2 linked regions of the Schizosaccharomyces pombe genome follow. The gene in region 1 interacts genetically with each later gene. Each region holds a gene or a part of one and is shown in the gene's direction. Other genes may lie near its edges.

The links. Genes that interact genetically often act in the same process or in processes that back each other up.
Region 2: mutations in SPOM_SPBP4H10.16C (region 1) and pvg2 together harm fitness less than expected from each alone (positive genetic interaction), as found in Schizosaccharomyces pombe (one large-scale study listed by BioGRID).

What each region holds. Positions count from the first base shown.
Region 1 is NC_003423.3:2,905,294-2,909,241, reverse strand, and holds SPOM_SPBP4H10.16C (phosphatase activator), read left to right. Parts: upstream 1-2,002; 5' UTR 2,003-2,117; coding exon 2,118-3,005; 3' UTR 3,006-3,280; downstream 3,281-3,948. Other genes in the region: SPOM_SPBP4H10.18C (uncharacterized protein), read left to right, coding at 1-355; SPOM_SPBP4H10.17C (carboxyl methyl esterase), read left to right, coding at 844-1,869; aco2 (aconitase/ribosomal domain-containing protein), read right to left, coding at 3,361-3,385, 3,426-3,948.
Region 2 is NC_003424.3:4,018,091-4,022,554, forward strand, and holds pvg2 (Golgi 4,6-pyruvylated galactose (PvGal) residue biosynthesis protein Pvg2), read left to right. Parts: upstream 1-1,784; 5' UTR 1,785-1,991; coding exon 1,992-3,161; 3' UTR 3,162-3,964; downstream 3,965-4,464. Other genes in the region: msm1 (methionine--tRNA (Met) ligase), read right to left, coding at 1-107; Tf2-6 (retrotransposable element/transposon Tf2-type), read left to right, coding at 4,402-4,464. UniProt on the Schizosaccharomyces pombe protein: Involved in cell wall biogenesis. Has a role in the addition of Gal-beta1,3 moeities to galactomannans and their subsequent pyruvylation. Has a role in meiosis.

The sequences.
Region 1 (3,948 bases):
TTTATCTAAGTTTACCCAATCCAGAGAGAAAAATGAGCAGAATCTTTCAAGTAAAGCGTCAGTTTTAAGAAACAAAAAGTCAATCTTGTTAAAGAAAAGAAATCAAGATGAAACTCAACTGACTACTGAGGAGGATTTTTCTGCCAATAATGATTCTACCGCAAAAATAGAGACCAGTATCCACGACCACAGAGATATTTCTAGAATAACACCTTTTGAACTTCCTTTTGTTAATCCAAAGCTGTTTGCTAGCTTTACTCCAATGTCGGTAGCTCTACCAGCTGGACGATTACTACTAATTAAACAGTTGCAAGAGAAATCTACCCAATCATCTTCTATGACAGGTCTCAAATAAAACCAGCTTATTGCCAAAAGTAGATAATACATTCATCTACTCATATTTTTGTCTCATACTAGCATAAAAAGTATAAATTAATTATGATTTTCAATCTTACTTTTACCATTGTATTTTAGTCACATTTGTCTGTAAGGAAAAATAGCGTTGGTGTAAAGCGAGGTAACATATTTAAATGTTACGTCGTTAATTTTTTTACGTAGGCGATGGAAGGCGTGTAAATCATTTGAGCATTGAGGAATCCGCAGTAAGTACAGGAAACTTCCACTGCATATTATTTACTCAACTTAGCTACCTGGGGAATACACATTGTTTGTTTTAAAATTTATCGATTTCAGAATTACATTGAATTAATTTTTTTTTTTTTCAATCAGGTCCGTTTCTGCTTCTGGGATTGTATATTCTATCTTCATAAAACCAACGAGGAATTCGTGTGAACTATTTATAGTGCTGCGTGTAAGCTAAAAAAGATATTATAATACTTTATAATGGCATTTCGTAAAGAAGAACTCAGTCAAACACTCTATGAGAATGAATCTGAGCAATCATCCGAAACCAAGGAACTAATGTTAAATAATGAAGAGAGTTTAAGCGATTGGCGAAATTACTTTGATGAAAAGTTAACAATTCCTGGTGAAAGTGGGGCTTTGAATGGGACTATCAATGGGTACTTAACACTTCCACAACCAGATGGTTGCTTACTTGTTTTGCAACACGGTGCTGGCTCAAGTGCCATGTCATTTGCACCGGTTACACAAGAGCTCTTGAGTAATTCAGATAATAAGGTTGGTTTTTTAGCGTTGGACCTTCGAGCTCATGGAGAAACAACGTTAGAACCCGAATCAGATATGAGCTTGGAAACATTATCTAAGGACTTTACTCACGCAGTCTCCTATGTTCAACGTATGTTTGAGCTTGATGAAAAAATCATTTTGGTCGGACATAGCTTAGGAGGTGCCATTTGTGCTTACTGTGCTTTTCAAAAAACTATTCCCAATACTTCTGGACTTGTTGTCATTGATGTGGTTGAAGGGACTGCGATGGAAGCATTGGGTTTTATGAAAACGTACCTCTCTAATCGTCCTACTAGCTTTAAATCAATTGATGATGCAATTTCTTGGCATATCAAGACTTTAGTTACTAGAAACAGATTATCGGCCTGTATTACAGTTCCTTCACTTCTCGTTCAGCAGGAAGATGGCACATTCGTTTGGCGAACCGATCTTTACAAAACATCGCCGTATTGGATGGACTGGTTTAAGGGTTTAAGTGACAAATTCCTAAGAGCACCATATGGAAGGATGCTTATTGTCGCTGGTACCGATCGTCTAGATAAAACGTTAACAATTGGACAAATGCAAGGAAAATATCAACTTGAGATTCTTCCTGAAACTGGTCATTTTGTTCATGAAGATGTTCCCGCTAAGATTTCCTCTCTACTTTTAAATTTTTGGCATCGCAATCAACCTTTGGTTTTACCTCCCAAAGTTGGTGCTACTCCTGTTCTACAGTAATCTTAATGATTTAACGAACTTTATTATACACTAAGAAAAATGCGTTATATAGTGGAGTATGTATGGTCATATAACGTTGTGCTGTGCAGGTTGCGTAGGCATCGATATCAAAGGCACCGCTTTCATAGTACCTATAAGTACGTTGCATTCGCATATATGATTGTATCTTTATTTATCATTACCCTTGATTAAAAAATAATTTATTTTATTGAAACTTCTCTTTTAAACACTCGAATTTTTGTGCCTTCATGTCTGTGATAACTCAGGCTCAGGAAATACCTACTGTAGCAGCCAATCCCGATTTCAATTATGAAGGAGATCCTATTATTATTCAATTATGCGATCGTGACACAGTATTTGAATTGAGTAGAGATCAGCTTTTAGGCCTCCCGGAATCCATCTTGATGTGTTTATTTCCTAGAGGCCTGTTGTTGGATTATGAGATTCAAGAATGCCAACTGACTCAAAGGCCATTAATATTTCAAACAGCTGACTTTGATCCTTCATTACTTCAGTACATATTAAATTATTTTCAAATGGCCGAAAATCGTACCGCTAATGATGAAATTGCATTATCACCACCTCCACCTTCTTTTCCTGGAAAATGTGGTATAATTCTGTTAAAAGAAGACATTGAGTTTTTTATCCTCCCACCCATTTCACCAACCACCAATATTGCCATTGAAGTTAGTCCGAACGATTTGCTTAAACTAAAACAACGTGTAGCCCAACGATTGCTGCAACAAAAGAAGATCTTTGATTGTTTACATCTCGAAAACTCCACCTCAGAAGGTTCCGCTGAAAAGAACCTTGTACGCATGCTTTGCTACAGCGGATTTCACGAAGATGACGAATGGAAACGGCGAATACAAGAACCACATCGCGCTTGTATTACTTCAGTCACTTTGACCAACCTAGATTTTAGTGCAGATCAGGGCCCTGTCTCTGATCCTGAATATTTTCCTGTTTATCACAAGTTGCTCCTCTTTTGGCAGAAACCAGCTCGGAAGTGTTGGTGGGATTCTTCTACCAGTATCACCTACAATGGGATCGAGTTTGCAACTTGGGTAAGAAGAGTTTGGACGTTGGAACTTGCTGTATTAGGCGCTAATACGTACGAGACTGCAGCGGTTTAAGTACAGGGTATGTTTCAAAGTTTAAAAGCATTTTTTCTCTTTTGTGTTTTTGTTGTTTTTGTTGTTTTTGTTATTCCTCTTTATTTTTAAATGAGCAAGAATTATTTTTGCGCAGCAATTACCTACTTAATCCTTGATTTGTAATTGCTTAAATTAGATTTGTACTCCTCCTACGAGTTTTATTATTTCTTGATCCTCTCTGAAATTTTTTTTATTATTTTATTGAACAACGTTCAGTATTACTTGTCACTATTTCCCTTAATACACAAAATTATTATATTAATTTACAAAATGTTTTAGTTGTCAGCAGCATACATGGGTGAAGTAGAAGACTAGATAAAAAGAAGAAAGGGAATTAGTTCAGTTTGAGTTCCGTAACCCTGGATGATTAGTAACATGATAGAATTGCTGCACACTTACCTTAAAATAGTATACGTTTGTTTATGTTTCATTACACGATCATGACGATGACGACGCTTGTGTTTTACTCGAACACTTAATGCGCTTTTAGGGAATGATAATACAACCGCTTCAATCGTAAACAATGAAGGGTCTACATACGGGTTACCAAAGAGAGTAAAATCTCTTGAGCCGAAGGAAGCGATTTTATCAAGTCGTATCGTATCACCAACCTGGACACCTTTCAAGTGAAAAGGCAATCCTAGTTGATCTCCTTTGGCTATAACAAAATGACGATTAAATATATACGCATCAGCATAGTGGTCAGGTTGTTGTTTTATTGAATCTATAACCTTTTGATTTACCACGCCAGAATGGGCCTTTTCGCGAATCAAATTAAGAGCTGAACCGGCCTTGAAAAATTCTATCTGGTCTTTACTCATTGTGTGTTTGCAAGGAATCTCTACAACTGAACCGTCTTTCTTAGTGACGACAAGGGTAATAGGCTGGTCCAAAACACCTTCTAAAAGTTGTTCAATACCAC
Region 2 (4,464 bases), on another chromosome or scaffold:
AGATGAGGTGCAGCATTGACATAGAAAATAGGTGTTGTAAGGAAATAAGGTTTTTTAGAAGATTCTGAAACTTGATGAATTAGCCTACAAATCCCTTTGCGCAGCATCTTGCTTCAGAAGACGTGTATGTATGTTTAGCGATCAACGTTAGTAATAATTTGTATATTTTAGGACTGCTGTCAGTAAACGTTAGTAATCGAAAACGAATATAATTCTTTAATTCATTGAGAATACAGCAGGGAAACCAGCAAGTGGAGAATACAGTGACACAGACGGTGCCTTGACGTACGTTAGTGGTGTATGTATATCGAAAACTAAGCTTGGTTTTGGATAATTGCTTTCTTCATGATTAATATGATTAATTTAATATCTTAGTAAAAATTCCTAATCAGTAGTTTAAGTCGTTTATTGGTTAAAAATAGAATGGTAGAATAAGACAAGTGATACACTAGGAGCTGATATTTAGTATACGCATAGACCCAAATTAATTCAAATGCTAGTATTTTTTGACTGTATAATAGTTTCTTCAAAAAGAGCTCTAGCAGCACTTCACAAAGGCCTAAAAACAGTAAAAAGATTGAAACTAGTGTATACAAAAATTAGGTGAGAAAATAAGATTGCATTCAGGAATTGATCGAGTCGAATTTTGTATTACCTTCAAGTATTTATCTTCCAGCAATGCGAAATCAAACTCATGTCAATGATTAAATAGAATAAAGAATCAATGCTGAATTTCTTTGAAATTGTTTTACGATATACGGTATAAAGAAGGATAAGTGTTTAAGATTCGAAATAGTGCTTTTTTAAAGAGATAATGATGTATTCCTTAAAATGATGCTGCACGGGATATTTCTTTGTTTAGCAATAAAGTAATTTGTGCCATTTACTGTTTCAATTTTTTCCAATATTTTTTTTTTTTTAAATTTGTTGTAATAATTTTTTAATTAAATTTTTTTTAAACAAGATATTCTAGCATATGCTGGCTAATTTTATTTTATTTACATATTTTTTAAATATTTAATAAAGTTTAACTATTGCTTCAATTTTTTCAAATACCTATTGAAAATGATTTTGAGCTGAATCACTGAGTGAATAAATCGATCCTTACAATAGCAGGCAATTGACAAGTTATAAGAAATTTAGTTGGAATCATTACATAGTTGCATTTTTAGAGTAACTGAATTTGAGTCATACACACATAAACTGAGTTCTTAAATGACTACGATAACCTCAGAATTACACACACGGTCATAGGGTAGGACATAGCTGGAATCTAAAAAATAAAAAAAAAAATACTGTATGTAATGCACAATATTATAGAATTTGTAGGAACTATAGAAAACAGATAATCCATAGATGCTTTGAGTAGGGATAAATCAACAAATAAAAGCATTTAAAACCAATTCGTATTTTCTTGATGCTTTGTTTACATACTTACTATGTACTGAGTATCTTATATCTACGCATCAGATAATCTACAGTAGTGCAAAGAGAATGCGTTATAAAATCTGAAGTTTCAAAGTTCATACTTGGTATATTTTGGGATGTCTACACTATAAAAGAGAATCTAAACCTCGATTAAAAAGATGGTCGTTCATAAGAAAATAAATGGGTCGGTAAAAGTTTCAATTTGTAATCATTGATTGCAAGCCCTGCTCATTTCCTAGGAAAACCATGACATAGTGATTTGCAAATATAAGTTTGCAAAATAGTATAATGAAACGCAGCGTAGTTGTAATCACAAAGACGCGGTTTTTGTGACATTTTGAACACACTACTCTAGTACGAACCATACTGACAAAGAAGTGTGCGGTTTGGTTTCACAATCCTTTATCTACTCATCTGTAATTCCTAACTCAGGCGCTTATTAAATTATTTAAAATCTGTGGAAATAATTGCGCCTTAAATGCATTAAAGCTCATTTGCACTTATAATATACTGTATAAATTAAATTGAATTCGACGTGAAATAAGCAGAAAAAAGGAGGAAAAATGACTAAACTCTGGGTAAATTTTTTCAGCCAGAAATTATTAAGGCTTTTAATCCCATCAATAATAGTGGTATTTGCTTTCGCTGCTCTATTTGCAATATACAGTCCCATTCAACTTGGAGGCATCAATTTCTATAAAAGAACCAACTTATTTACCGTTGAAGAATTGGGCGAAAAAGAATTGGAACTATCTAAGACCGTTACTATCGATATATACAGAAAAGCAATGTGCATGGATGATTTGGAGCAATCGCGCAAATGTACAACGTTCGGTTTGGATCCACCGATTTCTGCTCACTTATTTTACACATATAACCGTGATACGGGTATGAATAGAGTTGCGAGACAATGGAATCGAAGAATTCCAAGGGTATTTCATACCATTAAGGGATCTAATTTCATTGAATTGTCTCAATTCACGGCATTTGAAGTCGAACTTCGCGTAAGCCACCCAAATTGGGCTTTTGTTAGTTGGTCACATGATGATTTAAACGAATTAGTTGACAAATCATATCATAATCTTCATAATGCCTGGTCTCAGTTATCGCGTGAAGCTAAAGATCAGTGGGGATTTTTATTGGGATTGTATGAGTATGGCGGTGTTTGGATGTCTCGTTCTTTACAGCTTAAAAAAAATATTGATAAATTTGTTTATGCGGCGGAGTTATCCGTAAAACAATTTACAGAAAATATCACATCTTCGACTGTTGAGGAGTTCCAACCGATTTTTATGGCCCCAAAGTCCCTACAGTATGACTTTATGATTGCTACTCCTAAGCATCCGTTTGTTCTCTCTCTCATTAACGAACTTTGCAAGTCGGAAGTTTTATTAAAAATCCTTTCTAAAAGGCCCTATCATGGTCTTGATGCAGCTGAAGCGTTGTTTGCAGAAAACCGAGAGTCTATTACAATTCGTGAGCAAGAATTCTTTGTCAACACTTATATCGATGACGGGAAAGTTTTTGTGAAGAATAACCCTCACATCATTTTTATCCCAACAGAAGCCTTTGCTTCAACTTGGGACTTCCTTCCTAGTGAAGAATCTTCTGAAATGTGTTTCGCCGACTCTCCCCTGTTTGACCCTGACTATTGCATTAGCCACAGTTCAAAACCGGATGGGAACGAACTTGCCATATACTGGTCTAATTCATTCGACTTGATAACTGCTTGATGATATTATGATGTTTCATCTTTTTATCTTTTCACAAATTTAATTTCATTCAGCAAACAATAAACCTGACTTGATCCTTTAACTTTTTTTTTCTCTCTAAGGTATCACCTACAGTTATGTGCGTTTCTTCCTAATCATAGTTTTTATTTAATACTATTGCTAAGCATCCGTTTTATAATCAAATATTTTCTGTCGTGGAACTGTCCTGCAGCTTGTTTTTCTAATGTGCCAACTATGTCTTTACATTTAATGTTCTATGGTTCTATTGTCTTTCTTTCTTTTTTTTAGTTTTTTATTTTATCAGATCTAGGAAAAGCTTGTTTCTTAGTTTTTTAAATTCGATCCTTCATTTATTGTTCAACTGTAAAGTTTGTGATACTTTTATAGCTACTAACAGGTAATCAATCTTGTTCTCTCCTCTCTAGATTTCATTTTATTACAAATTAATGTTATTTAGGCAACAGCTTTTTCCTAATCGATTATTAAGCTTTAGAAAATACTATTTTTGAATTGAACCCCTTGCCAATAATAAACCAACTATTGAGCTCGGTTCTTATTCTAATTGTATTTGTAATAGTGAACTAAGTATGCTAAAGGATTCCTTGTTTTTTAAGTCTTCCAGAAATCCAGAAAGAAGCTCAATCAAAACAGCAAATATTATTGGTAAGGAACAATTTCCTGATCATAATAATGGTAAATGAATTTGTCTCTTCAATTTTATTTTATGTCAGCAATACTACACTACGCTATAATACACTACGTTGAGTATCACTATATGTCACATGTTCTAATTATATATCGTACCATGTATGATACGATATGGAGATTGATCTTAATGATAATCTATTAAGATCAATATTATCTGAATACTATAAATAGAGCTACTGCTGAACCTCGTTCCTCAGTTCAGTTATGAGCTATATTAGTGATAGGTAACATTATAACCCAGTTAATACAATACCTATACTCAGTTGCTACTTATACAACCTGTGTATCGTAATATAATAGATCACAAGGAAAACTCACCGCAGTTCTACGTATCCTTAAATCAGATACCAAACTGCGTAGCTTACAATAACTGAACTCTTGTGATCTACAATTAACTCCTTTTAGGAAAAAGGAATTATTGAATAAATATATATCATAAATATATATATTTCTCTCCTTCTGGGTTCAAAGGAGAAGGAACTTTGGAAGGACTGTTATCCCTTTTGAAATCTCCCAAAGGGAAACATATACAATGTCCTACGCAAATTATCGTTATATGAAAGCAAGAGCAAAACGATGGAGACCAGAGAATTTG